Linked DNA regions of Alligator mississippiensis. The protein of the gene in region 1 binds, or shares a complex with, the protein of each later gene. Links are inferred from orthologs where the notes say so. Each region holds a gene or a part of one and is shown in the gene's direction. Other genes may lie near its edges.

Evidence for each region.
Region 2: WDR5 (region 1) and CXXC1 share a complex: the UniProt entries of both Homo sapiens proteins name them as parts of the SET1 complex. The link is inferred for Alligator mississippiensis from reciprocal best matches to the Homo sapiens genes WDR5 and CXXC1.
Region 3: WDR5 (region 1) and KANSL3 share a complex: the UniProt entries of both Homo sapiens proteins name them as parts of the NSL complex. The link is inferred for Alligator mississippiensis from reciprocal best matches to the Homo sapiens genes WDR5 and KANSL3.
Region 4: WDR5 (region 1) and YEATS2 share a complex: the UniProt entries of both Homo sapiens proteins name them as parts of the ADA2A-containing complex. The link is inferred for Alligator mississippiensis from reciprocal best matches to the Homo sapiens genes WDR5 and YEATS2.

What each region holds. Positions count from the first base shown.
Region 1 is NC_081835.1:61,654,651-61,661,771, forward strand, and holds the start of WDR5 (WD repeat-containing protein 5), read left to right. Parts: upstream 1-4,108; 5' UTR 4,109-4,199; coding exon 4,200-4,280; intron 4,281-5,689; coding exon 5,690-5,798; intron 5,799-7,121.
Region 2 is NC_081831.1:27,528,975-27,536,625, reverse strand, and holds the start of CXXC1 (CXXC-type zinc finger protein 1), read left to right. Parts: upstream 1-4,643; coding exon 4,644-4,660; intron 4,661-4,892; coding exon 4,893-5,105; intron 5,106-5,579; coding exon 5,580-5,680; intron 5,681-6,108; coding exon 6,109-6,251; intron 6,252-7,651. Other genes in the region: synaptonemal complex central element protein 1, read left to right, coding at 942-1,005, 1,279-1,345, 1,516-1,592. UniProt on the Homo sapiens protein: Transcriptional activator that exhibits a unique DNA binding specificity for CpG unmethylated motifs with a preference for CpGG.
Region 3 is NC_081830.1:10,566,599-10,573,773, reverse strand, and holds the start of KANSL3 (KAT8 regulatory NSL complex subunit 3), read left to right. Parts: upstream 1-4,172; 5' UTR 4,173-4,256; intron 4,257-4,726; exon of another isoform or gene 4,727-4,730; 5' UTR 4,731-4,763; coding exon 4,764-4,978; intron 4,979-7,175. Other genes in the region: ARID5A (AT-rich interactive domain-containing protein 5A), read left to right, coding at 1-726. UniProt on the Homo sapiens protein: Non-catalytic component of the NSL histone acetyltransferase complex, a multiprotein complex that mediates histone H4 acetylation at 'Lys-5'- and 'Lys-8' (H4K5ac and H4K8ac) at transcription start sites and promotes transcription initiation.
Region 4 is NC_081830.1:41,937,594-41,945,248, forward strand, and holds the start of YEATS2 (YEATS domain-containing protein 2), read left to right. Parts: upstream 1-4,648; 5' UTR 4,649-4,710; intron 4,711-7,655. UniProt on the Homo sapiens protein: Chromatin reader component of the ATAC complex, a complex with histone acetyltransferase activity on histones H3 and H4. YEATS2 specifically recognizes and binds histone H3 crotonylated at 'Lys-27' (H3K27cr).

The sequences.
Region 1 (7,121 bases):
TTGACCCATATGTTTGGTGTAGCATCCCCAAACTCTTCCAGGAGCTTGTGGGCTTCATGCATAAATGATTTATGACTTTTAAGCCTCCTCTATATGGGTTTTTAGTTAACAGTTGATGAGGCAGGTGGTTTTCATTTGAAACAAGCCGTCAGGGAGACACTGAAGATAATTGCTAAAGAAGGCCAGAGTGGGCTGTAGGACGCCAACACAGTCGCCAGATGCAAACGGGACCCAGTTGAGCAACGGTTTGGACTGGGCAGGCGCATTTTGCACGCCTGGTTACAGTCATGGGAACAGGTCTGGAGACTCCTGGCCTCCTATCGATGCACAGGCCAGATCCAGCAAGGCCCAGAGCAGCACGTGCACGGCCCCACAGCTTGCCACAAGGCTGGGTCCGGTGAGGGCTGTCCTCCCTGGGCTCGGCGGCTTCCCCTGTTCTGCTTAGGCCAGGCCCGTGCCAGGCGCCAGCTGGGGAAGATGTATCCTCAGGACGCAGGCGGGCCGGGCCAAGCCCTGCACAAGCCCGGAGATGGGAGTGCGGACGCGCGGTTGTGCGGCGCGAACTGTGTAATGGGTTTTTAGTGTGGTTTGAGCTGCCAAGTGAACCACACGGGTCACATGGCAGTGTTGGAGGTGGGGGTTATATCTATCTGTCTATCTATCTATCTGTCTATCGATAGATACATCTCTATCAATAGCTATATATCTATATCTATCTATCTAAATATCTATTGGTATCTATTCATAGGTATATATTTATCTATCGATACCTATCTATCTATGCATATCTACATATATCACCATATTCATAGGTATATATTTATCTATCTATCTATCTAAGTATATCTCTATATATCTATCACTAACTATTCATAGGTATATATTTATATATCTATATCTATCTATGCATATCTCTATCTATCACTATTCATAAGTATATATTTATCTATCTATATCTATCTATCTATCTATGCATATCTACATATATCACCATATTCATAGGTATATATTTATCTATCTATATCTATCCATCTATGCATATCTATATCTATCACTATCTGTTCATCGGTATATATTTATCTATCGATCTATATCTAGATAGGTCGGTCTAGATAGATATTTATATCTATCTATAAAAATACATATTTTTGCAAAAAGTCAAGTAAACCCCCCTGCCCAGCCCCAGTGGGAGCCACATTCCTGCCCCACAGGCCCCTGAGGGGCTCATGGGGGAGCCCGGCTGCCCTCTATGAGAGCACTTCTGGGGCTGACACTCCCCGCCTCCCCTGCGAGGGGAAGGGAGGAGAAGGAGTGAAAAAAAAAGCAAAAAAAAAAAAAAAGGGGGCGCCTGTCTCTTTAAGGCGTTGCCGGCGCGCTTGCCTTTTCTGTCCCTTTCCCCGCGCCGTCCGCGGCCGGCAGCGAGCGGCATTGTGCGGCCCCCCGCGCTCCGCACTGCGCAGGCGCCGCCTCCCCTTCCCCTCCCCCGCCTGGCGGCCGCGAGAGCCGCCGCGCCCCCCCCGGCCCCGCGCCCCCCCCTCCCCCACCGGTGAGTGTCGTGTGTGCCCCCCCTCCCCCCCTTCGCGTGTCTCCCGTCCCGCCGCCGCCCGCGGGGGCGGGGGAAGAGCCCGGGCCCGGGGAGGGAGGCGGCGTGTCCTCGTGGGAGCCGCCGTCCGGGCGGTTGGGGGGCCTGTTTTGACCCTTTGACTCCCGCCCTTCCCCCGTCGGGTTGGGGGGTGTTGTAGTTCCCCCCGCAGGGAGCGCCGGCGGCTCCGGGGGGCCGGGCCCACGTGCGGCACACGGCACCTGGGTCGGACACCCCCCCCCCCCCCGTGCGACCCATCAGCACGTCTGTTACCCGCTGTGTCGTGAGACACACACGTGCGTGTGTCTGTGTGCGTGTGGCGGGGGGGCTGGAGGTTGGGCTGAAAAATTAATGTGCTGGGGGGGACTGGTGGAGGTATGGTTTTGCACTGGGGGGATGGGAGCTGGTTTGGTTTTGTACTGGGGACCAGTGGAGGTGTGGTTTTGCACTGGGGGGACTGGTGGTGGTATAGTTTTTTACTGGGGAGATGGAGGTGGTATGGTTTTGTGCTGGGGGGACTGGAGGTGGTATGGTTTTGTGCTGGGGGGACTGGAGGTGGTATGGTTTTGCACTGGGGGGACTGGTGGAGGTATGGTTTTGCGCTGAGGGGACTGGTGGAGGGGTATGGTTTTGTACTGGGGAGACTGGAGGTGGTATGGTTTTGCACTGGGTAGGGACTGGTGGAGGTCTGGTTTTGCGCTGGGGGGACTGGTGGAGGTATGGTTTTGCGCTGGGGGGAATGGAGGTGGTATAGTTTTTTACTGGGGGGACTGGTGGAGGTCTGGTTTTGCGCTGGGGGGACTGGTGGAGGTCTGGTTTTGCGCTGGGGGGACTGGTGGAGGTCTGGTTTTGCGCTGGGGGGACTGGAGGAGGTATAGTTTTTTATTGGGGGGACTGGTGGAGGTATGGTTTTGCGCTGAGGGGACTGGTGGAGGTATAGTTTTTTATTGGGGGGACTGGTGGAGGTATGGTTTTGCGCTGGGGAGACTGGTGGAGGTATGGTTTTGTACTGGGGAGACTGGAGGTGGTATGGTTTTGCGCTGAGGGGACTGGTGGAGGTATGGTTTTGCACTGGGGAGACTGGAGGTGGTATGGTTTTGCACTGGGTAGGGACTGGTGGAGGTCTGGTTTTGCGCTGGGGGGACTGGAGGTGGTATGGTTTTGTACTGGGGGACTGGTGGAGGTATAGTTTTGTACTGGGGAGACTGGAGGTGGTTTGGTTTTGCGCTGGGGGGAATGGAGGTGGTATAGTTTTTTACTGGGGAGACTGGTGGAGGTCTGGTTTTGCGCTGGAGGGACTGGAGGAGGTATAGTTTTGGGCTGGGCGGGGACTGGAGGAGGGAGGCATGGTTTTAAATCGACAACGCAAGCTGTTCAAGTTCGGGCACCGCTGGTCCGCAAGGGTCCGATTGACACGCTCCCGTAACGGATGCCGTTTTCATCCAAGAATGGGTCCCCCGTCCCTTTTTGACCCGTGTGTGCTGAGCAGAAATGCCCAAAGCCAGTCGATCCTCGTGAGCGCACCCAGCGTGGATGCAGAAGTAGGTTTAGACATGGTACGTAGGGAGCCTTGAGGCTGGAAAGGTCGAGTGTCGCTGCCCTGGGCGGTGAACGAAGCAAATGGAGCTTGTTGTCGTCCTGCAGAGGAGTTCAGGTCCCCAGCAATGTCCGGGGTGGTTTCTTGCCTCCTCTGATGCAACAAAACCCTCGTGTCTGCCGGTGCTTCTTGTCCTGTTGCTGATACAGGCGTGAGAAATAACCCTTTCCCCACCACCGCAACCCCTGTCATCCAAATGATACAGTCCAAAAAAGCCATCCCAGGCACTCTTGTCCTTGTGCGGTGTAGACCCCATCTTCAGGAGGTGTCGTGTTTACGACCTCCCCTTTTGCCAGGGCGGGGCTGGCCGACCTGTGACGAGCGGCGTGGGGCTAGGCAATGTGATGGCAGGGAGCAGAAAGCCGAGCAGCAGGTCAGACAGAGTTGCACAGGGTGGGGAGCAGAAAGCGAAGCAGCGGATGAATCGGAGGAAGAGGATTATAGTGGCATTTGGGGAGGGTGTGGGGCTGGTTTCCTAAAAGGTTGGACACCACTGTGCTACCGATTTAGCAGTCCCGGTGTAAATGCAGCAGTCGGTTTCACGGATCAGTGATACAAAGAAAAAGAATACGTTTCTGCAGCTGGGGAAAAAAAGAGCGTCAACACCATCCGGGTAGCACAAGGCTTGATGGATCAGTTTCCTTTATGAGAAGGGAAGTAGGGCGTGCTGTTGTATGCTGTACAAATGTATGGGCATGAAGGCATAAACACCCTGTTGCGTTGGTGCGCATTTGTTTGTCTCCGTCTGCAGCATTCGTCTCTCGGATACTAGTTGGAATCGTAAGATGCTCTTTGCATCGGTTTTCCTGGGGGTGGGGATTACGGTCATTATGCGCTCGTGAATGATGCTTTTCTAGGTGCTGAAACAGTGTTCTTTTGTGGTTAACGGTAGTGTTGAATTTTCTCCTAGGTTTGAGATCCCAGTTCTGTTCTCCTGTCAGTGGGAAAGGCTCCCTTTTGAAGCAGCACATTCATTCATCCCTTCAAGCACCATAGGTCTGACTTGCCAGCTTCAGAACCATGGCAACAGAAGAAAAGAAACCAGACGCAGAATCCACCAAAACACAGTCGACTCCTTCCTCTTCAACCAATCAGAGCAAGGTGTGTGTAGGTCTCTGAACAATATCCTGAGTCTGTAAATACACATGGGAGCTACCTATGGTTTTTTTTTTTTTACAAGCAAACTGGGATGAGGGATTTTAAGGAAAAGTTGAATTCTGAAGGAATTCCTCGGGAATTTTTCTGGGTTTGTATAGGGCCAAGAACATGCTGAAGGCTTTGGGGGCAAGACTGACTATGAGATTCCTGGATTTACCCTGAAGAGCTATAATTTTGTTTTGTCCGTATAACGTAACCTCTGCCTTGCATCACTTGAGTCCATTATGGTATCCTGAATTTTTGCAAGCAGTGAGAAAATTAGAGAACATGTTACAGAGCATGCTTTATCGTTGCAAGTGTCATTTGACCTTAATTCAAACGCTTCAGGGAATTACATGTAGCATAGTATATCTTGTAATTGTTGTAAAATGGTAGTGAGAGAGACTTATGAGTAATGTCACAATCCTCTCTGAGAAATAAAGATGTCAGGATTTCTTGAAATACTTAATGGAGTTGCCAGCTATCCAACAGGGATCCAGAAGGCCCGTCAGATGTTTGGTTTCTGTAACTGCTTCTGCTGCTAGTGACAGTTAACACAATCATTGCAAGAGGTCTGTCATCCCAGTGTCTGGGTGTTTTTGCTGAAATGATCACCAGCCAAAAAGGTAACACTGGTATGTAAAGATGACTTGCCAAGGAGAAAAATGGCCTTGTGCTCCTCCTATCTTATGATCATAGAGTCCGAAGGTCTTCTGTACCCATGGAGGACTGTAAGGAGATTAGAAAACTGATCAATTTGTGATATTTCAATGGAAGGGGGATGGAAATAAATAAAAAAATCACCTGTATTCAGGCATGGAAAAATTTGATTGTTGTGGGAAGAGGATGTCCTCATTAAGGATTAACTCCCTTTTCCCTCCTCCATTCCTTCAAGGCGTGAAGCTTGCAGTGCCCATCTGAAATCCTGCTCTCTGAGGAGTCCTTCAGCAGCACTAGAAAAAGTCAGGTGTCTTGCTGAGGTTTAAGGAGATGCAAATGGTCACAACCCTAATTTTTAAAAGCGTTTGGCAGGTCACTTGTAAATCCTGTATGGAGTGTGGCTCAGCTCACGCTTGTGGGCCAACTTTCTGCCTGTGTGGCTGACTTGGATAGATTTGCATCTCAGATAAATTTAACTAGTTGTTTTGAGGATGTTTCTCTGTAGGTCCAGTAAAGCAGCGCTGAGCCAGATAATGTAAAAAATATGTTCCCCTGTAAATACAGGGCTACGCCTTTTTTTAATAGATAAATCCAGACCGCTGTCAGTGATCATGCTGTACATCCCTGTGTCCTGGCTTGTTAGATATCCCAGTTAGAACTGAAACATTGAATTAAGTATCTACTTGACTTATTTGAACAAATCTTTCTTGCAGCCTGCACCTGTAAAACCAAACTATGCTCTAAAGTTCACGTTAGCAGGACACACTAAGGCCGTCTCGTCAGTAAAGTTTAGTCCAAATGGAGAGTGGCTAGCCAGTTCCTGTAAGTATCAGTCTGTCTTAATGCTTTCCTGTTGTCTGAATTGGCCAAATGTGGATCTGGCATGTTAGACAGCTTGCTGACCGTATCTTAGTGCTACCATGATCAGAGGGAGGGAGAAAACAATCGTCTAGCTCTTTAAGCTGAGTAAATGACAAAACACGACCTGCTTAGTATTGCGTGTGTGTCATGGTGTATTATATCCTGGATTGCCTCTGCCCATTGCCAGACCAAAAGGGCTTGGGATGCTCCTCTTACACTGCTGCAGAAACACAGCCAGGATAACACACACAGATTGTGGATAAATGTGAAATTAACTGCAGTACAGAGAGGATCTCATCCAGCCCTCCCCGTTACTTAAGTTCCAGCTTATGCCTTTAAATTGGGCCTTGCTTGGCTTGATGCACATGCTGTCTGGCAGTGAATTTCACTGATCATTATTCTTTGTCTTCCTGTATTGGAACGGTAATAGGAAAGAGCCTTGGAGAGTCGAGTCATCTCCATTGCACTTTGTTACTTATAAGAGAGGAAGAGGCAAGAGGGACTTTGAAGGGAGGAATTTAGCGAGCTTTTGCCCAGAACTCTAAACCTAAGCAGTAGATCAAGTTCTCTTCGTGCCAGCCTTTGATAATGGTGAAATCTCTCTGGTAAACTTGCAAATGCCTGACAACTTCCCTCTGGAACAAAAGGTGCATGCCTGGGAAAGAGAGGAGAGGGGCAACTCGGAGGAATGCTGTTGAACACGCAGATGGCCACTGTAAGCCCCACACCCTCCAGAAATGGCAACGGTTCTGGTCTGTTACTTGATCGTGCTTGCCTTTATATGGGCAGCAAACTGCAAAGAAATTAATTTCTTACATTTTTTGTGATACCTTTTTAAAAAGGTCATTTCTCACTCCCACCCCAGACATTCCTCCTGCTTTAACATCTGGCAAATATCAAGCTTTTTCTCTGCTGTGGATCGCAAGCTAATGTGATGATGAATAGCGTGTTTTGTTTCTCACAGCTATTAGTCAGCCCAGTTTCTGGATTGGTTTTTGATCTTCCTGGGGCGTAAGCATTTCAGTGGCCCTTGTGGGGATGGTAGCTTTTTCTGATGAGCAGTGTAATTTTAAAAAAGCAGAAGCCAAAGTCTCCACTGGAGAAATTAGAACCGTTTGAGACCCTTTACATTGCAGTCACCGTGTCTGATCTTAGCTCCTGCAGTCTGGCATACGTGAAACTGTGTCATTAGCATTTACATTTTGCCTTCTGTACCGAAATCTGTGCTTGAGGGTAAAAACTATTTGGTGTCTCCAAACAACTATCCAATATGCTGCTTTCTGC
Region 2 (7,651 bases), on another chromosome or scaffold:
TGGGTTAGAGCAGAGGGGCTGGGAGCCAGGACACGTGTACTATTCGGCTCTGGGAGTGCACTTGGGATGGGTGGGTTAGAGCTGGAAGCTTGGATGCCTGGGTTCTGTCCCAGCTCTAGTCAGTCTTGCATTCCTACACACACTTCAGTGTGTGAGTGCACACATGGGTATGTCCCAGATGCCTGGGGGTGGGTGGGTGTGTGTGTGTGTGTGTGTGTGTGACCTGGATGCCTGGCTTGTGCATGCATGTGTATGTGTGATAAACCTGGACACTGGGTTTATTTGTGTGTGCATGTGAGAGAGAGACCCAGATGCCTGGGTCTTTTCTGCATGAGTGGCGGGGGGTGTGTGTGTGTGTGCGCGCACGCACGCACGTGTGGCAGGTGCTTGAGTCTAGTGTGTGTGCATGAGAGAGAGACTCAGGTGCCTGGGTTCTGTGCGTGCGTGTGTGTGTGTGTGACCTGAACATGTGGATCATGCGTGTGTGTATATGAGACGGAGAGAGAGAGAGACCTGGACACCTGGGTTCATTTGTGTGTGTGTGTGAGACACCCAGATCCTTGGGTCCTGTGTGAGTGCATGTGACCCAGATGCCTGGGTTCTCTGTGTGTCACAGACACCTCAGTTGTGTGTGTATTTGACCTGGATTCATTTGTGTATGTGTTTGTGACCCAGATGCCTGGGTTCTGCATGTGTATGTGAGACACAGATACCTGGGTCAGTGTGTGTGTATGTGATATGCTTGGATGCCTTGGGCTCATTTTGTGCATGTGCACACGTGTGTGACCCAGACACCTAGGTTCTGAGTGTATGTGCATGTATGTGTGTGCCCCCACCCAGCTGACCCCTCACTTCCTGCCATACCACACACTCCAGGGCATCTCTGGCCGTGGCTGGGTACAATTCCTGTACCCCACAGCCACCCCCTCTTCTGCTTTCAGGCTGGAGTTTGAGCAGCAGCTGGATGAACTGATGGAGAAGCACAAGACCCTGCAGGAAGGGCATGTAAGAGACATGGGAGGGTCTCCTCATGGGGAGCCCGGATGCCTGGATTTTCTCCCAGCACCAGGAAGGGAGTGAGGCCCAGTTAGTTGGTTGGGAGCCAGGACACCTGGGTTCTCTAACAGCTTTGGGAATAGAGTGGGGTCTGGTAGGTTAGAACAGGGTGCTGGAAGCCTGGACACCTGGGTTCTCTCCCCATTCTGAGAAGACAGGGAGTCAGTCACGTGAGTTCCCTGGGTAATTAACCCAGAGTTAATTAATTCCCCCTCTCCTCAGACCATGGATAAGCTAGCTGTTGAGATCCAGAACATGTCAGACAGCTGGGAGCGGCTGCTGAGAGAAGGTGAGCAAAGGGGCACTTGGCATGATGTTGGCCTGAGGGGTCTGTACAGCACTTGATGCCTCCTGATCCTGGCCTGGGGTGTCTGTACAGTGCATGGTACCCCTGATACCAGCTGGGGGGGGTCTGTACAGCACCTGGCATGTCCTGTGACACCCTCCCCACTGGCCCAGATGAACTGATCCAGGCCAAGCTGATGCAGTTGAAGCAAAGTTGTATGTGCTGGCCCAGGCTGGGGCTGGCGCCGTGAAGAGAGGAGGTTCCTGAAGAGCCCGGAGGCCAGTGCTGCCCTGTGAGTGCCTGGGTTCCCTGGGAGAGAAGAGGGACTGGCGGGATTAGAGCAGGTGGGTCTGGGAGCCCAGATGCTTGGGTTCTCTCCCAATAGGTATCAGAAGTGGGAAGGTTGAGGGTCATTTTGCCCCCCAGCCTAGATCCCAGACACCTGGATTCTGTCTTTGACTGGGTGTGGAGTCTTGTGTTTTACAGGGAGGGTAGGAGCCAGGACTCCTTGATTCCCACTGCATCTTGGAGGCAGAAGTGGGGGCTGGGAATGGGCAGGGGATGGGAGCCTGGATGCCTAGGTTCACTGGGCAGTGAGAGAAGGGGGGACTAGGAGCCCGAATGCTTGGGTTCTCTGGGAGGGGAGTGGGGGTTGTGGGTGAGAACAGCGGGGACTGGGAGCCAGGACATCTGGCTTCTCTGGGATGGGTGTGTGAGCTTGGGGTTGAAAGCAGGTGGTCTGGATGCCTAGGTTCTGCTCTGTGGCTTGACTAGAAGGCAGTTCCGGCCCCCCATATACAATGCCAGATGTGGCACCCTGGCGTGGGGTGGGAGGATGTCTGGTGCTCACCCTCTGCCCTTCCCCAGACAGCTGCTGCAGCAGGAGAACCAAGGTGCCCATTCCCAGTTGGAGGTTGCCACCCAACGCCACTGCCAGGGGCTGCAGCGATGCAACCGTGAGGGATGCCTGGGTTCTGTCCAGTTCTGGGAGGGGAGTGTGACCTGGAAAGTTAGAATGGGGCTGGAAGGTGCCTGGGTCCTTTTCAGCTCTGGGAGGGAAGTTGAGCCTGGTAGGTTTGAGCAGGGGGACTTGGAGCTGGGACACCTGGGTTCTCCCTAGCTCCAGGAAAGGAGTGTAGGCTTGGTGGGTTGGAGACCTGGGGCTGGAGCCCAGATGCCACCGGTGTTCTGTCTGAGTTTTAGGAGGGGAGTCGGAGAGCAGAGGGGCCTGGGCAGCTGGACACCTGGGTTCCCTTCCAGCTGTGAGAGCTGGGGTCTCCTGGCAAGATCAGGCTGCAGCCCTGGTGGCCAAGCCTGGCAGCCTCTCTTGCCGCATCCCAGCTAGGGTGGGGTGAGGTGGGATTGGCTCCTCTCCAGAGGTGGATGCATTCTCTAATACTCGCCCCCCTCCTCCTTCCAGGCTGAAGGTGGAGCTGGAGGGCCAGGGGTGGAGGAGCAGCACCAGCAGGCATGTGGGCTGAGGATTAGGGTGGGGATGGAAGAGTAGATCCAAGATGTGTATGGGGATGGGCAGAGAGATGGAGGCATAGGGTGGGGGGATGTGTATAGGGATGGATGGGTGGATGAGGTGATGGAGGGAAGGATACAAGGGTGTGTATGGGGGGGAATGGAGGAATGATGTTTATAGGGCAGGTAGAGGGATGGTTACAGGTGTGTGTACAAGGACAGATGGATGGATACAGGTGTGTGTGTGTGTATAGGGATTGATGGATAGAAGGCTATAGGGGTGTTTTATATGGATATAGAGAGGGAGGGATGGATACAGGGTGTGTATGGGGATGGATGGGGTGTAGAGGGATGGATGTGGGGGGGTGATGTTTGGAAGGTATGGATGAGTGGGGGATGAGGGGAGGGAGGAAGAGGGATGGATGGATGGATACACAAGAGTATGTATAGGGATGGACAGGGAGGGATGGACACAGGAGTATGTATGGGATGAGGGGATGCCTGGACACGGGTGTGCATGGGGAGGGAGGGAGGGAGGGATGGATGGATGAGGGTGCAGGTGGATGGAACTGTGGGGGGCAGGACCTTCTCTGTCGCAGACCACCAAGGAGGGCAAGTCCAGTGCTGGGCCCCCATTGAGCTGGGTGCCTGTACCCTGCTTGTCCCCCCCCCCCCCCCCCCCCCCCCCCAATCTGCCCACAGCTGGCACCAGGGACCAGAAGGTGGCTGCGTGACACCAGGATGGCACCCTATGTTGGAGTGAACCCCTATTGTCTGGGCATTCGTCCTCCCTCCAGCTTGGTACCAATAAAGCCATCACCCACCCAGCATCTTCTCACTGCTGTTGGGGGCAGGAATGGGAAGGGTGGATAGCCCTGACACCTGGGTTCTCTTCCTGCTCTGGGAGGGGAGTGGTGGTACTGGGGAGGGAGAGCTGGCAGGGTTGGGAGCTTGGACACCTGGGTTCTTAGGGAGGGGAGTGGGGGTTGAGCATCCATCCCCATACACTCCTTTAGATCCATATCCATCCCTCCCTTCATCCACATCATATCCCTGGAACCAGAGATGACCCAAGCAGGGTGCAGCCTGTGCAGGGCCCTGCCCCTGCACGCCCTAGACCCAAAGAAGCTGGTGGTGGATTTGGGGGGTCGGGGATTTCCGAGCAGCCAGACATGAAGCCGGCAGCAGCAGCACTCAGTTGCCGTGGCCGCTCTGCCCAGTTCTGTGGGGGTCCCAAAGTGCCGGGTTGGGGGTGGCTGCCCCAGCTTGCCCGCTGCCTAAGGACAGCCGTGCCTGGAACCATCTCTTCATCAATCCCTAAACATGCCCCTCCCCCCATACCTTTGCATCTCTAGCCATCTGTCCTTCCCCATATATACCCCATATCTCCATCCATTCCCATACTCAACCCCGATCCATCTCTCCATCGCTACACCCGTTCTATCCCTCCCTCTATTTACCCATCCATCTATCCTTCCCTGTAGACACCTCTGAATCCATCTCTCCCTCAAATCATTCTTTCTTTGACTCAATCCGTCCAATCCGTTGGGTGGCGTTCGATTCAACGTGTCTGGTACTTGACACAATCAAAGATGGCCACACCGCAGTGTCATAAGTCAGACGGCCACATAGTAGAAGCGGTGGCGGCCATGTTTGGTGCGGGTGGAGAAGCGGAGCGCTTCTGCTGGAAGGAGGGGCCATTTTGAAGGCGGGCACCCTCGGCCACCTTGAGTCCGGTCCCTTCGCCGCTCTTAGACCTCGGCCATGTTTGAAGAGGGCAGAGGAGCGACTAGGCGCTGGGTGATGATCAGTGGAGGGGTTCGAGGCAGGCAGGATGACCCGGAAGCGGAAGTACCGCGGAAGTCAGAGATTCTTTCGAGTCCCTTGTTTTGTTGGTTCCTCGCAAAACAAGGGACCCTCAGCGGCAGCTATGGTGAGGGGTCCCGGACACCTGTGTTGTGTGGGTGGGGGGAAGGGCTGGGGCTTGGATGCCTGGGTTTTCTGGGAGTTGGGGGGGCATCTCGGACACCTGGATTCCCGTGAAGGGGGGCGCTAGGAGACCGTGCGCCTGAGTTCTTGAGAGGAGGGGTGTGTCGGACATCTGGGTTCTCGGGGGCGGGGGGTCGGAGCAGGGGAATCCTGGACACCGGGGTTCCCTGACCCTGCCTCGCCCCCAGGACAGCGAGTTCTCGGACGCGGAGCCGGCCGGGGCGAGCGAGGAGACGCGCTCGGAAAATGGGGAGAAACGCGCCGTTTACTGCATCTGCCGCAAGCCCGACATCAACTGCTTCATGATGTGCGCGGGGGGCGGGGCCTGAGCCACGTGGGGCAGTAGGGAGCGGACCTTGAGCCTGGGGACAGGGTCTGAGTGAAAGGAGGAGGGCCGTGAGGGTGGGGACGGGGTCTGAGCCTGTGTGTGGGGGGAGCATGAGGATTGGGGGCAATCTCTGCTTTGAGGGGAGCCTGTTGCCCAGAGGTGGGCTTTGGGGGCGGGGCCTGAGCCATGGAGGTGGGGCTTGTGCCCTTGGCTGGTGGGGGTGGGGGGCAGGGCTGGAGCCATAGGATTGGGCCAGAGATGTTGGAAATGGGCGGGGGGGGGGTCAGCCTGTTCCACAAGGATAGACTATGGGGTTGGGGTCTGTGCCATTGCAGGAAGACTGTGGGGTTGGGTGTAAACCAAGGATTAGGATGGGGCCAGGGATTTGGGGTGGGGGGCATGGCCTTGGCAGGGTCTCACCTCCTGCTCCTCTATTTCCCCGCCCCCCCATAGTGGGTGTGACAACTGCAATGAGTGGTTCCATGGTGACTGCATCAATATCACGGAGAAGATGGCCAAGGCCATTCGGGAGTGGTACTGCCTACAGTGCCGTGGTGAGGGACTGGATGCCTGGGTTCGTTGGGAGGGCAGTGGGGGCTCGTGGGTTAGACCAGGGGGGTTGGGAACTGGATGCCTGGATTCTTTTGGGCGGGGGGAGTGAGAGTAGTGGGGTAAGGGGCCTTGGCGCCTAGACACCTGGATTCTCTAGGAGGTGACTGGGAACTGGAGGGTGAGAGTAGGTAGGGCTGAAAGCCAGAGGCCTGGGTTCTCCCCAGGTAGAGGAGGAGAGTTGGGCCTGGCCCTTGAGAATATTGGCTGCTGGAAGCCCAGATGCTTTTTTGTTCTCTGAGAGGAGAGTGAGGGCTGGGAGTGTTAGAGCAGGAGGTGCTAGGAGCTTGATGCCTGGGCTCTCTCTGGGGGAGCTGGGTGGAGCAGAGCAGCGAGGGCCGGCCCAGACTGCTGGGTCTCTTTTTCTCCCTAGAGAAGGATCCATCACTGGAGATCCGGTACCGTCACAAGAAGTCAAAGGAGAAGGAGAGGGACCATGAGCGTGACCGACCTGATAAGGATGATCTGCGTAAGAAGGCCCAGGAGCTGGGCATAGACCAGGCCCGTGGATCCAAGGTGAGGGGGCAGGGCTAGAGGTGCAGCCTGGCCTGTGGAGGTGAGGTCAGGCAGGGAATGACCTCACAGCATCTTCTAGGTGCTTGCTATGGAACTTTCTGCCCCCCCCCCCCCCCACCCCCCCCCCCCCCCCCCCCCCCCGTTCCATGTCTGGACAGGAACCAACAACTGGCTCCAACTGCCATCCAGGCCCTGGTTGGTGGGTGGAGTTAAGGGGGTAAGCCCTGGCCAGCCCTTAACTTCACTCTCCTCAACTACATAAAAGCTAAGGGTAAGCCCTGGCATTGACTCTTTGATTCATTGCCTTATCTGGCATTGGACTGGTGGGCAGAGTTAAGGGGGAAACTGAGGTTGTGTCCTTGATTGGCTGCCTTATCTGGCATCTGGTTAGTGGACAGAGGTAGAGTGAGCCCTGGTCAGCCTCCGATTGGTCCCTTTAGCTGTCATGTGATTGAGTGGATTTAAGGGTAAACCCTGGGCTTGGGTCTCTGGTCCCATCTAATTTGTGGGCAGAGTCAAGGAGAAGCTCTGGCCAGCCTTTCTGAGTGGATATGCGGTAATTGGCCAGCGTTAAGGGTAAATCCTGGGCTTGGGTCTCTGATTGGTCCTCTTGTCTGGCATCATATTGGTGGGCAGAGTTAAGGGTAAGCCTTGGGGATGGCTCTCTGTTTGGGCCCTTATTTTGTTATTGGTTGGACAGTTATGGTTAATCCCTGGCTAGTGACTCTAATTTCCTTATCTCATGTCTGATTGCTGGGTAGAGTAAGGGTAAACCTTTGCTGGCCTCTCTAATTGATTGATTGGTTTCATTATCTCGTTCAGTTGGTGGACAATCAGAGAGCCACCCCCATGGTTTTCCCTTAACTCTGCCACCAATCAGATGTGAGATAAAGGAATCAACAACACTGTCCAGGGCTTACCCTTAATTTAGCCCAATCAGAGTCAAGATAAGGGACCACTCGGCCAACCCTGGGATTTACCTTTAACTCTGCCCACCAATCGGATGTGAGATAACAAGCCAAAGTTAAGGGCAAGCCTTGGCCAGCCTCTTTAAACGGTCCCTTATGTGTCACTCCATTGGTGGAGTTAAGGGTAAGCCCTGGCCAGTGTCTCTGGCCCATTATTCCTCATGTAATTGGTCAGCACAGTTAAGGGTAAACTGTGGGGTTTCAGTCTCTGGTACCTTATTTCACATCTGAACATCAGGCAGCGTTAAGGGCAAACCCTGGCCAGCTTCTCTGGCTCCCTTATCTCATTCCTAATTGGCAGGCAGCGTTAAGGGCAGACCTTGGTCAGCATCTCTGATTGGCTCCCTTCTCTTTCACTTGATTGGTGGACAGAGTTAAGGGTAAATCCTAGGGTCGGGTCTCTGCATGCTCCCTTATTTTGCATCAGATTGG
Region 3 (7,175 bases), on another chromosome or scaffold:
CGGGGAGAAGTGCTGAAGCCTATGAGTTGCCGCCCACTCCGGGCCCCTGCCGGCTTCCCTGATGCCTCCTTCCTCTGCCAGCCTCCCAGCAAGGACCCACCCCTGTCTGACCACCCACGGGGGGAGCTCAGAGAGCCCCTGGAGGGGACGGGCTTCCGGCAAGGCAGCAAGGCTTTGGCCTTCCCTGCCAGCAAAGCCTGTTGGGTGGCTCCCATAACCAGCTTGGCTAGAGTCAGCCCTCAGCCATCCAAGCCTGGGCAGAGCCCGGGGCTGGGCAAACGTGGGCCAGAAGATGGCAGCTTTGGCCCTGGGAAGAAGCTGAGGGCCGTGTCCCCGTTTGTCAGGGAGGCAGAGCCGCGGGAGGCTTCGCCTGGCCTAGCCAAGCCACAGGCCGTGGCACCTGGCTTTCCCACACTGCTGCCACCACCCGGCCCAGATGCCTACACAGGGACGATGCTGAGGTTTCCACTGAGCTTGGCTGGCTCCAGGGAATCATCGCCACTCACACCATCCCTCAGTCCCTTTGTCATCCCAGCCTTCCCAGGCCCTGTGATCACTGCCTCTGCCCAGGCCTCTGAGCTGTGCCGGCCACTGGCGACCAGCCTGGCACACTACCCCACATCGTATGACAGCTCACAGCGGCACCGCCTCTATCCTGTCGCCACATGGCACAGCCAGCCTGCCTATGCCTCCCCCCACGGCTTCCACCGCCCCACCAAGCTGTAGCCTCTGGCCAAGACATTCTGGGCCAGGACATAGGGGCTTGGTGTGATGTACCAGGCCACCTGGGAACATGTGATCCACCCACATAGGATCCACCATAGCTACGGATCCCACAGTCACGTGACAAAGGGCCAAGGGAAAGCATCACATGATCCGGACCTTGGGACCATGGAACTGTTGGGATCTGATGCTGTCCCCCTTGACAGGGCTCGTGTAGCAATGTGTTATGGGAAGGGGCTTTATATAAAGTCAGAGCATGTTGGAGGGGTCTCACAATCGTGCTGTGGACTTCGGTGATAAACCTGCCTGAGAGGAAGAGAGCCCCTGGGGTCTCCTGGCTCTTGGGAGCCGGTGCAGGGCAGGGGAGGGGAAGGGAAGGGGACCTGTGGCTAAATCAAGTGGAGTTGGGTATGCAAGTGTGTCTGAGTAAGCATGTGTGCGACACTGGTGAGTATGACTGTTTGAGTGTGAGATGGACTGAATGTGTACGTGTCTGTACGAGTGCACATTGTGTGACTGCGTGCTTGTCAGTGTGTGATACACTGAATATGTGTGTGTGCATGATGGACTGAATGCGGGTGTGTCTGCATATATGATAGTACATGCAAGTGTGTGATGGACTGAATGTGTCTGTGTCTGTGTGACTGTTTATGAGCATGTGATGGAGCGAACGTGCATGTGACTGCAAGGGTAGGATTGTGCATATGTATTGTGTGCATGACTGCATGTTTGAGTGTGATGGATTGAATATGCATGTATCTGTATGACTGCATGTTTGTGAGGGTGTGACAGACTGAATGTGTGGGTCTCTGTGCATGCGTGTCTGTGTGTGTGACAGGGTCAGGAACAGGCCCTTTCAAAGGAGGCGGGCGCTCCTATATCATATTGTCTGCAATATAATACACCTTGGTTTTGAAAGGCAGAGCAAAGAATAAAAGATTTTTTCTTGTACCGAGTACTGGAGTAGCAGCAACCAGGGATCCCGGCCTGCTCTGTGTTCTGCTTCTTGGGGATTGCAGCAGGTTTGGCGCTTAGTTTCACCTACCAAATGGCAGCCCTGTGCCCATGTTTCCCGCCTATTCCATGCACCCAGTTTCTAGGGGAAGGGAAAAATCCAGTGCTGCTGAGAGATTGCTACAAGTGATCAACTTTTGGGGCAGGTGTGGCCCATATTAAGCCCTGCCTCTTTCTGCTCTGGCCCTGCCCCCCCAGTAGGCTTCATGTCACAAGGGTGCAGGACTGGATACTACCATGGCTTTTGGTTCTGACAGGATCCCTTTGAGGATATGCCCATCAGGGACCTGGGCAACTAGCAGACAGTGTTAGCTCAAGAGGTGATGTGGTCCTACCACTTTTTTGCCTTGGCTTTCAGCCCATGGGTCTCCTTCTGGTCCTCTGGCATCCCACAGTGCTCTGTGCTCTCTTGTTCCAAGGGGTGTGGAGGGTGAGTAGTCACTAGGGGCCAGTGGCACAGTGCCATGAATGAGGCTTTCCTCTGTTCCTGGGAGACTGCTAAGTGTCCCGCCTTGTGGGGAAAGGCTGAAAAAACGGGGGTGATGTAGCTTGGGGAAATGAAGAGTGAGGCCAATTTGATCACCTTCAAACCCCTGAAGGATGACGACAGAGAAGATGGAGGTGGGCCGCAAGGGACAGGACTAGGAACCATGGCCTCGAGCTGCAGCAGGGGAAACTGAGGCTGGAGATGAGGCACTTTCTGACTACTGGGATCCAGCCTTGGAATGGGCTGCTGGGGGGGGAAATTTCCATTCCCCAGACGTTTTCAAGTGCAGGTTGGATGGACACTTGGATGAACTGCTTTAGGGAAGGCTGATTCTGCCTACAGCAGGGGGCTGGACTGGATGGGACCTTGTAAGGCCCCTTCCAGCCTGATCTTTTTCTAGGTCCCTACTGCATATAAACAGCTAAGGCATGTCTCAGCTGTCCACAATGGCCTTCTGGGACATGGCAAGGGGTTCTGGATGGGAGGAGAGCAGTGGGTGTGCTAGAGCTTGACTCGAGCAAGTGTGGTCAGAGTTAGACTCACAGGGCAGCCAGGCTGGACCAGCCCCATCCAACCCCTGCTGACACGTCCTTGTCTGAGCTGTTCCTAACACCACACAACACTCCAGGGACCTTGAGAGCCCCCGGCTGTGTCCCAGGTGAATCCAGGAGAGGGCTGGTGGTACCCTGCTGCTGCTGGGTGGCTTCAGTGCCCTTGAGAGACCTCAGGCAGAGACTATGCCCTTGCTGCAGAGGAAGCCAAGCCCCCCCCTCCCCCCCCCCCCCCTTTGTACCTGTGTGACTTGGTGCAGGGGTGGGCAAGATTTCTGACCTCAATGTTGCATCAATGAGACCCTGAGTGGAGGGGCAAGACCTAGCCGGAACCCTCTAGATTTGAGTCCCAGCAGAAGTACAGGCCCAGCCCAGTCACCTTCCCAGCAGAGCCCTGGGAAACGCCAAGACCCTCCCTGTATTTGCTGGGGGGACAATGCTCTTGCCCAGGCAGCCATGCAGAGCTGCCCTTGGCCACGAGGTGGCATCATGCCTCCGTGTACCCGCCCCCTGGTGGCCATGGGCAGGGCAGCTGTTGCTTCCGTGGCAGTAGCAGGGGACCAGGGGGGATCAGGGTGACAAGTTGAAGTGGGGGTGGAAGATGGGCCAGCCTGGGAGGGGGTGGCACTCGGGAGGGATTAGGGCCAGTTTGAGCAGGTGCCACTGACTCCAGCGTGGCCACGAGCTGGCAGTGCTGCGATTTGGGGGCTCTGGGGGCATCATCTCCAGGCAAGACCCTCTAGCTAGGACCCTCCAGCATTGAGTCCCAGCGAGAGCTTTGGCCAAGCCCAGTTGCCCTCCCCAGCCTGGGCCACAGCCAAGGCCCACCCAGTGCTGCTGAGGAAGAGGGAAACCCGCCATCCCTGTAGCAACAGAAGAGAGGAAAATGCCTTCCCCACCTGACATTCATAGATTCATAGATGTTAGGGTCGGAAGGGACCTCAATAGATCATCGAGTCCGACCCCCTGCATAGGCAGGAAAGAGTGCTGGGTCTAGAGGAAAGAGTGCTGGGTCTAGACATGGTGACTAGCAAGACCCAGAAGCCTGGGACACTCTCCCTCCATTGCTGGGGGACCTTGTATGCACCAGGCAGCCCCGGTGCTGTCCCGCCAAACCAGGGGCGGGCTGGGCTTTCACAGAAGGACCTGGAGCTGGCTGCCAGGGGTGGCATTTGGACATCTGGGCCTGGGTCTTGTGGGTGCTGCTGGGCCAGGCTGGGGTGGGCGCAGGCAGAGCCACGCCGCTGCCCTGGGCACTAGGTGGCAGCTCTCGTTCCCCTGCTGGCCCCGGCCCCGGCCCCGCCGCGCTCCAGGCTCCGCTCCGTGGATCCCACACTCCGGGCTTTTTGGTCGGCGCATGCGTAGCAGGCAGGAGACTCCGCTCCGGGAATTCCTCGTTCCGGGCTTTGCGGCCGGCCGGGCAGTGGCGCGTGCGCAGTAGGCGGCAAGCCCAGGCCCGAGGCGGCCGCGGGCCTTGGGCTGTGAGTAGGGTCTGACCCGGGCCGGGGCCGGGGGTCAGGGGTCACGAGGGACTGGGAGTAGGGAGCAGTGGGGAGGGCGCTGGGGTCATGGGATGCGGGGCTCATGGCTGCTGGGGCACGGGGGTGGCAGGGATCGGAGGGCCCTGGGGACAGGAGGAGCTGGGTCATGGAGACCCTTGTGGGGGAGGGGTGCTGGGGCCAGGGACGTAGCGGGGAGCAGTTTGGTGCTGTGGGCAGGGGTCACCAGCGCTGAGGGCAGGAGGTATTGGGTATGGGTATGGGTCTGGCTGGCGGAGTCAGGGTCATCATGGCGGTGGGGACGGGCCGTGGGCCACTGGGTGCTGGGAACTCCTGGGCAGCAGGGACACAGGGCGCTGCTGGGGTCTCTAGGGCCACAGGTGAAAGGGGAGAAGGGGCCAGAGCACCAGGCCCATTTCCCTGTCTGTTGCTCACCCCCTGCCTCTCCTAAGTCAGGCAGCAGGATGCGGGGCTGAAGCCCACAAAGATATGTGGGGCCGAGCCACTGAGCGCGACTTCCAGACGTCAGCCCACAGGATGGGGACCTCTCTGCTCTTCCAGCTCTCTGTCCATGAGCGTGAACTGGACCTGGTCTTCTTGGACCACAGCTACGCCAAGCCATGGACCGCCCACCCCGACGCCAGCAGTGCCCGACCCACCCGCACACTTTTTGTCACACCGCGACGGCACCAGGACGCTGCCATGTAAGCCCAGGCCTACTCCAGGCTGGGGGACACTTTCCCAGCAGGCATAAATACCCCTGTGGTTTCTGGGGCAGGGCATTGGCCAGGCCTTCATCTCCTCTGCCACTACCAAGGAGTCCTTGGTGCTTCTGGTTTTGTGTAGTTGTGGGGCGTTTAGCCGAAGAAGACAAGGCTGAGGAGTTCTCAGATATCTGAAGCGTCATTCTGCAGCAGATGGGGGTAAATTGTTCTCTGTGGCCGCAGGGACAGAGCAAAGAGCAATTATCTTAAATTATGGTAGGGGACATTGAGGTTGGAGATAAGGAACTTTCTGACCACAAGGGGGTCTGTCTCCGGAACAGGCTGCCCAGAGAGGCAAGGAATCTCAGCTCATGGTCCCCCTACTTTACCTGGAGCTGGTTCAGGTGTGATGTCTTGTGTGGTGTCAAGGTTGACAGCAGTTTTATGAAGAGTTTAGATCATAGATTTGTTGAGGATGGTTTGGACAGGGCTGATCCTGCCTCAGGCTGGGGGTTGGACTAAGTATGATATCCAGAGGTCCCTTTTAGCCCAACTGCTCTGTAAGTTCTATGATCTGTTGTAATGGGATAGTTTAGTAAGGCCTATTTGTTGTACTGAAGGGATGGTCAACCAAGACCTGCCAAAGAAAACTATGAGCCTCCCTCCATGAAGGAGGCCACTGAGGACACAATAGCTAATTACAGGGGGCAAAAAATGAAGAAGCAGAGGTGGGAGTGAAGTCGTAGCTTATTAATGAGGGATCTAAAAGGGGCCGCTAAGCAGAGGACACCAGCCAGTGGTCACTGCCCCCCAGGTGAGTCTCAGGAGCCTGGGATGCCTACCTGGCTGGGGTCGAGCCTGGTTTTCTTCCTGCCCAGGCAGGGGGTCGGACCTGAAGATCTGCATGGTCTCTTCTGACCGTACTTCTATGATTCTATGAAAGGGCTTGGGTGTGAAGGACCCATTGTCTTCGGGGGCGGGGGGGTTTGCCCTGTACAGGGCGTTGCCCTGTAGCCTGAACAGAGCAAAAAATTAGGAAAGCAATTTTTGTATTAAAGATACAGTGAGGGTGACATAGCCACTATGGTCCAAAATTATGTGAGAAACAAGGATTTCTTAGGGTGATGGCTTTTGTTGCACCAGTGATGTGCTCGACACCCAAAAGAGGTGCCTCACAATTTACAGGTCTCTCTGCAATTCTTTCCCTTCTCTTTGTTACACCTGACATCTAAAGCTAAGTAATTGGGAGAGAGCACCCTTAAGAGATCGAAGAAAAACATGAGAACAAAGCTCTAAGAATCGGTATGGAATGCAGTGGCTCTCAACCGTGTTGGACTCCAGGTTCCCTTTGGATCATCTTTCACTTGCTTCTCAACTTCAGAAAAGTACTAGAGCAATTCTTCCATTGCAGAGAACTTAGAATAGCCACAGCAGAGCAGGCAGGTTTGGACACACTGGATTCCTACTGGAAGTCTTTGGGTTTCTCTTGGCGGTCACATGGAGGTGTTTGCTCACCTGACCATGCTAATAGTGCCCTGCACCCTTAAAAGGAAAGCACAGGCCCCTGGTTGAGAAGCACTGGAACATGCGTAAGAGCCAAGCCTCCCTCCTCCTTAGTAGATTTCAATCTCATTGTAAAAGAGATCTTTACAAATCTGGGTTCTTCAAGTTACGTGTGTTTGAACGAGGTCTCTGGTAGCTGAGCTTGGAACAGGTGAATCAGCCTGTTCGATTTTACTGCCTCTTTCTAGTCAGTGTCTGTCACTGGCTTCTCCTGGGTTACCTATGCAATGGGCAGTTGCTTCCCACAGGGGAAGGGATCTTTTTGGTGTGGATCCCTTTGTTCTAGGACTCATGATTCTCCCTGTCTCATTTGCCTTTATTGTTTAGCTTCTGTTCTCTCCGTTACTCTCTAACCTTTACCTCTCTGGCATATGGGAGATTGGTGTGTGGGGATTAAAACAAAATCTGAGAGACAGTATTTTGTCAATGAAGGGTGTTTCAGTTGGGTTCTGCAGGGGTCAGTACTAGACTTGGAGTAATATAAGGATAATACTTTGGTTTTTGATATATTTATCACCCAATAAATTCAGATGAGAAAGTAAGGACGGCTTTTTGGTAGCAAGGGCCAGTAAGTACTATATCACTTACTTCCCTGGGGAAGTTTGCTGGATCCTCTGTGTCATCAGACCAGATC
Region 4 (7,655 bases), on another chromosome or scaffold:
GTTAGTTCAAAAGCATGCTACTGCCATTTTCTCAGCACTGATGTGCATTTTGCCACTTATATAATTGTAAGCAACAGCGCTTGGTGCTTTTCAGAGCACCTGGCACTGAGGTTCTTGCATGTATAAAAATGTCCTCAATGAGGTGTGGCGAAAGCTAATACAACATGCAGGAGATTATTGTAGATTTCATAACAGGACATTTAAATTTGCTATAGGAATGATTTAAATGGCTTCTGGCTGCTACTGTTCTGACCCCATATTGAACAAGGGGGCTGATTCAACTTACACTGGAGAAAACTGATATATTCCTATTGGCTTCATAAGGCGCGTCCAGATGAGCCCATACACGCCTCTTGACCCATCTCAAACCTGTTTGAGATGGGGCAAGAGGCACGTGCGGGAACAAGTGCAGGGAGAAAATTAGATCCTGGGGTCTAAAAAAACCAAAGTTTACAAAAGCAGGGCAGGGCATGGTCCCAGACTCTGCCCTGAGGCAACCGGAGGCTGGGTCCTCCACGGAGATGCTCTGGCTGCCAGAGCGTCTCTATGGTTTGCCCCTTGCCCTGGTGCTGAACCATGCGGCCTGCCAGACAGCGCAGCACCAGGGCTCCAATGCTGTAAGTAAGGGGTTGGGGGGGCTGGAGGAGGGGGGAGGGGACTATGGGGGGACCCCTGCTGGCCCCACCTGCTCTCTCAGCCCTCCCAGCCTTGCCTGACCTAAGCCCTCCTCCTGGATCCCCACACCAAATCCCTCCGCCCCCCCCCGGGGCCTTACTGGCAGTCCAGCTGCCGTCTTTATCGCTGGGGCCCAGCCCCCACAGCACAGGGCAGAGGAACAGCTCCAGCCGGGGCCCTCCTGCCCTGTGCTGCCCAGGAGGGCTCTGCCAGGAGGCCCCAGAGCCCCCCCAGCCCCTACTTTTCTAAGGTAAGGGGGGGGGTCTGTTTTTTTTTTTTTCTTGTTTTGTTTTTAAAGTGATGGTGCCTGGGGCTGGGGGGGACAGCCATGGGGGTGTGGGGGATGGGACTAGGCAGGGCAGCCACTGTGGGAGTCTGGGAGAGTGGGGGGTGGAGCTGTGTGGGTCAGCCATACTGTTGGGGACAGCACAGGTGCTGGCCCTGAGCTCTAGCTCCCCCTGGCTGCAAATCCAGGAGGAGCCAGGCAGGGTTATTTTGCCTTAAATGGCACAATTTGCTCCGCAACAAAGTTCATGTCCAAGCACGTATGCTGAGGCAAAAAGCCTTGGCTCAAATTTGTACTGCTTCTATTTGAGCTGCTGCAAGCACATGTGCTTGCATGTGTGGATGTGCCCATAATAGTGTAACTTGGTCTTATAATGATGGTGGGACAACAAAGCACAGGCAACACCCACTTAGTGAAACAGCGTTAAGCGGAACCCATTTCCCCATAGGATTTAATGTAAATAAAGATAATTGGTACTGCACCACCTGCCAACCCAGACCCAATGCTCCTGCAGCCCCACCCTGGGCCCCACGTTCCTGGCCAGGCCGCTCCTGGCAAGACATCATGCAGGCTCTGCTAGGGAAGGCATCAGCTCCTCCTGGCCTCATTGTTCCCCCACCGCAATGACCCCTGCCGGACCACACCTGCTGGCCACCAGTGCACCTGTGCACAGCCCCAGCTGCCCCAGCCATTGGGCCTGAGTCGGGGCTCTGGCGCAGGGTAAGCAGTGGGGCTACCCACCTGTCTGCGCCCCACTTTAACCAGCGAGGGCTCCCTCCAGGGCACCCGGCACTTGGACGAGCTGCCACCACCAGATCGCTGCAGGCTCGGGACAAGTGTATGACTGGAGATGACCAGATCGCTGCACCCCACAGGTATGACTGGAGCGGAACAGGGCACGGACTGCAGCTCGCGTGCAGGGGAGCTCTGTGGGCTTGGCTTGCACTGGCTCAAGCTCTACACTCCTGCCAGCCCTGGCCTTGGGCCCCATGCTCCTGCTGCCCTGCTGGCCCAGGCCCTGCGCTCATGTCCCCCACCCACCCTTTCTCGCTGCTGCCGCTGTTCCTCCCCGCCCGCTGGCCGGTCCAGCACCACATGCCGGAGTGGACCCTGTGCTCCTGGACCCTGCTGGCCTGGGCTCCAAGCTCACACTGCCTGGCCCCCCACCCTTCCCTTCTCGCTGCTACTGCTCCTCCCCGCTCCTGGGCTCCTGCCAGCTGCCACTCGCCTCTTCCCTCACTGCTGCCACCGCCACTACTGCTTCTCCCCATGCCCACGCTATAATGAAATTCACTCAGCGCCGAGTGTATCTAGGTAGGCATTTTAAATGAGCGCTATAACAAAACCACATTAAGCAAGGGTTGCCTGCATTCTGCTGTTCAGCTATATCAGGGGTGTCCCTGGTGCTGCCTACGGGTCTCGGTGTGACCCATAGGTGGCATGCAGGGTGAGCTGCATGGTCCTGCACATCTGCAGAGCAATAGAGCAACTACCATGTGCAACTGCCATGTGCAGCAGTTGGAGCAGGACTGGAATGTGGACTGATGTGTAGGTCTGGCATGGCCTGCAGAGTGGCCCTGCACCTCTCCTCCAGCCTGTGGGACAATGCAAGTCTAACACTCCTGAGCTACAAAGTGTCTCTCTTAAAATGTTTTATAATAGAAGCCTAAAACTTGCCATAATACCAGTGTTCGTATTGCATCAGCTTCACCATATAATTGTTTGCGATAGTCAAATCCTTTCAAAGGACTGGAACCAGTTACAACTTGCCAAGAATAATTTCTGTATTAGCAGAAGTAATCTCACCTGAAAGAGTAGTCTGTAGACCGTAAAGCAAAAATCCTTTGAAGGCATCTGGGAGCTATTCTTAAAATAAGATCACAAGATTTCAAAAGCTCCTGCTATTTCTCCTTGTTTGTTTTTCATTGATTTATAAGCAAGAATAGCAATAAAATTAAACTGAATTAAGATGTGCATACAATATTACATGGGCGATTGGTGCCTCCCGAGTCGGGGGGACCAGTGGGGCACGACCGGGGGTGGGGTCCCCCGGTGGCCAGCTCCATGCCCTCCTACCAGCCAAAGCGCTCGCTGTTGTGGGGAGGCACCAGTGCTCTCAGGGCAGGCACGTGCCCCCCTGCCCCCTCTGTCGCCTATGTAATATTATGGAGACATTATTATTGATGAATACAGTGCATGTTAAAGACTTGTATCTGCAGGCATTTATATGCGTTGTCCCCATTGGGATTGGGATTGATCATCTGAGTGTTGGCTGGAGACCAAAAGCAAATCTAAAAGCTGCATGTTTGAGTAGGGATGTTAAAGCCAATGAAAGGAGTAAGGATTTGCAAGATTGAAGTCGTAAACATGGTAAAGCAGAACCTTTCTAATGATCTTGAGCTCCAATGAAAATGAGGAAAGAAAAGTCCAGTTCAGATACCTATATTCAAATATCTTACTCAGCAAATCAATAGGACCATTGGTTGATTGAAGTGCTATTTGATGTGAGCATAGGTATTGGAGCTTGGGACTAAGTGAATAATTGAGAGAAAATAGTGACATCACATCACAAAACTGACTTTCCTGTTTTGTTTTGGACAACTGCAGCTTTAGTCTTGTGTGCTATGAACCATTATAAAGAGTAAATATGGCAAAGCACCGTATTTACTCACAAAATTAGATAATATGACCCTGAAGATAATATGACCCTGAATATAACATATAATTGTGACTCACAATAAGATGACCCTGAATATAAGATGACCCCCTGCCTCCCAATACTTAGATTCTATACAGTATATGGAAAAATTGCCTTTCCCTGCAGTCTCTGTCTTCCCCTCCTTCTCTCCCCACCTTACTGTCAGATACTGCTCAGGCTGTTCACAGGCTAGGGACTTAAGTTGCACATAAACCAGTTTAGGTGATCAAAAACTGGTTCAAACCTGTAACAGAACAAAAGCTCAGTGCATATAAACCAGCTTCAAAGTGGCTGAAACTGGTTTAAAATAAACTTGGTTGAATGTAGCATCAGACTTAACTGATTTGGGTCAAACCAGTTTATGAAACTTCTGTCCCAGACCCCTTCCTGGTTCCAAGTTAAATCACAGTACCCCCTAATGCTTTGTCACCCTGGGCTGTGCTGTGCTGTGCTGTCTGCTCCAGAAAGCAGGGCTAGCCTTGCCCCTCTATTCCCTAGCTGGAGCACTGAGGGCTGGCTGATAAGAGGGTAGGATGGCCATCATAGAGGACATTCCGGTTTTCTGCTACTCTGTCCTGTCCTCTATTGATACGAAACCCGACGCCTTTACATCCTGTCCTCTATTTTCTCTTCAAGAGAAAAATAGAGGACATACAGGTGTCTGGTTTTGTATCAAGAGAGGACAGAGGACATCTGGACTGTCTTCTATGATAGCCACCATATAAGAGGGTGGGGGGAAGCCTGGCTGGGGCTGTAGCCTAGTCTGCAGAGGGGATGGGACTGCCCCTCCCCAGGCAAGCCCCAGCTGGGGCCTGGGGCCAGAGAGGGGGATGAAATTCCCCTCCCAAGTACCTCAGAGTTACCTGGAAGCATGAAGAGGAAGTGATGAGCACCCTGCAGAGTCCTGCTGCTTTGATTTTGGACTGCAAATCCCAGAGACCTCGGGGGCAGCAGGAAAAGGAAGTGAACACACAGCCAGACAGCCATGCTCTAGTAGCTCTGGGCTTCTGGACTGAGCCACTACAAGCATGTGGCACTTCCTGAATCAAAGGTAAATGTCTGTTCACTTGTGTTTCAATTTAATATCTGAATCTTAGACTAACCTGCAAAGACTGAATCGATTCAGCCTCAGGCTTTTTGACTGTCTGTACTTAGCCATGGAGGCCACAGTGCTTGGAAGCTCAGCCCTTGCCTGGCCATGCAGTAGTACCAGTGCTGCTGATTGGCCAGGCAGGCAACACAGCAGTGCATGTGTGCTGCTGGGCAGGGGAAAGACTTTCTATGTGCCCTGTGCCTGGGAGAGACCCCAGCTGCAGCCAGAGCCCAGCTATGCCTGATAGCGGAAGGAAGGGAGTGAGGGGAGGAGAAGGGGAGTAGAGAGGAAGCGGAAGGGGGGCAGGGAGCTGCTGTGGGACTGACATAGGCTCAGGGCCAGTCGGAGCTGCAGCAGCTGCCTGCCCCCTCCCCTCCCCCTTGCTTTGTAATATAAGACAAGAGGTTTCTTTTGCATGCGGATGGGGGGGATCTTGTCATATTTGAGTAAATATGTAGTTTTTGCAAGGAAAGAATTTTTGTAATATGAGCTCGCTGGAACAATGAGGAAAATGGCTTCTGTAGCAAGCTAACAGTGCGACTTTTGCAGATTATAGTGTGTGAAATTGCAAGGTTCTACTGTTTCCTGTGTGGCTTTTTTTATGTGGTACCTTGATCACACTGCTCTTATAGTTTCATAGTTGGTAGGGTCGGAAGGGACTTGAGCAGATCATCAAGTCCGACCCCCTGCCATAGCAGGAAAGAGTACTCTTCTAAGAAGAGTGTTCATCTAGCCTCTTCTCGGTTACTATTTCTGATGCTGGAAAAAAGAAAAAAAATATTGCTTGACTGGAAACTCAAGATTATTTGACATTGCTTTGAGGTTTTTTTCTTTAATAATAATATAATTTACTTATCTGATCTTGGAGGATATTATTCTTGGTATAAAATACTTCTCTTTACCAGTCTTTTTCAAGCGTGCCCCTTTCCCATAATGGTACACCACATCCATGTGAGAAACTTTAAAATAAGGGTGTGGATATGATGCAAAACAAGCCTTCAGTTATGGGCAGCAGATCCAGATTACCTCTGGTAATTAGTAAACCGTCTGTTTATGTATTTTTGTTTCAGAAACACTGATATCAATCATAACCCAATGAAATTCCAAAATGAAAATTTCAGTGCATCTAATCTGGTGTGTACACCATGACATGAATATTTTTCCTAGCATAAACCAGAATAAATAGATGTGCTAGGAAGCTAAAAGATACAGCAGGGACACAGCTTGTGTCAGTTACTTCATATTTATAGTGTGGTGTAGTGCCTTAATCATAGATCTTGGCACTATTATGCAAGGCACAGCATAAACATGGAATAAAGAGAGCCCTGTCTCATGGGCACAGCAAATGGATATTGCTGGCATACAAGGGGCTCATAAGTAATAGAAGGAGGCTTTTCCTTTTCTGCTGAGGAGTCACAGCACTGCAGCTGTGACTGAAGAGTTTTTGCAGCAGTTTTGCAGATGTTTGTGGGAGCTCCTCCTGTCTTCAAAGTGCAGCATGGGGCAAGGGGAAAGGTATACATTTTCATTTTGTGATGAGCTTGTGGTATAGGACCATAGACTAGCTACTCTGGTCAGTTCTGGGGTACACCACCTACATTTTTTTCAGTAAATATCTTCATTCTACTGGGCAATTCCAACTCCTCCCCCTGTACAAAAAACCTTAAATAAGTTATCAACCTTATGTCAAACATACCAAGTTCCATAGGAGTCCAATCTACTGTGTTGCTGATCCTTAGAGAAAAAAATCCCCTGCTATCAGTTAACCAGCTGACCTCCATGACCTCAATCCCTCTGTTCCCCTTTCACGCTGAAACAGTCTCTCAAGACCTAAAACTCATGTTGTACATGTTTGCAGAACAAGTAAAGAAATGCTTTCTTCAGTTTCAAGGTAACCTCCAGAATAGGGAAGTGTTATTTTCTGTGGTAACTCTACTCAAAACGTGTACATTTGTGATGAACTGTAGGAGCAATAGAGGTGGGTGGTGGTACAGGGCAAAAAGTCATATGCAGGTCAGGAAAACCTCAGTATAAGCAGGCGGCCATGGACTGCTTGAAGGTAGAGCTAAGGGGAAAGAACAGCGCAAGAGGCAAAATAAGGCCTCAAAGTGTAGGAACGGAGTGGCTGAGCTGGTTTATTTTTTGGGTCTGTTTCAGACTTGAAAAGCCATGAGGCAAAATCCTGAAGAAGCAGGGCTGGAAGGTCATCTAGTCCAACCCCCTGCCTGAGGCAGGGTCATCCCTGTCCAAACCATCCCATACAACCATAATCTAAACTCTCCATCTAACCAACTGAGGTGCAACACGGACCTAATACCCTAACCTGCCACAGGTAAAGCAGGGAACCACGGCACCCTGTGTCCTACCCACCTGAAACCTCAGTATGTGCTCAGGAGCTCCCAGGTAGAGGGCTATGCTCCCGCTGCGGGGGGCACCGCGGTGGGAGCCCCGCGGCAGTAAGTGGGGAGCTCCTGCAGATGCTGCTGTAGGTGGTGAGCACTGCCCAGGGGTTGATGACCACCCACAGACACCGCTGGCAGGGGCCAGTCACGATTGCTGACCCCCTGCAGACACCACCAGCCTTTTCATAGGGGGTGCACCCATGTGCACCCCCTACTTGTGGCCACTGTGAGGAAGGAAAGCAACCCCCACCTGCCGTCCATCCCTGTCCGACCGTGGGGTCAGACTCCTGCCCGCCCCAGCTCTGACCAGTCGGGGAGGAGGGGGGGGAGGGGGCAGCAGGACGAGCCCCTCCAGCCTGGGGCCCCACAGGAGCCCTGGCACAGCCCAGGCCACGTCCCCGCCCCGGGCTGTAGCCGACACCCGGTGCCTCTGAGGGAACAGCCCGAGGGCTGCAGTGGGACTCTCCGCAGAGAGCGGAGCCTTTCCAGCGGGCATCTCCG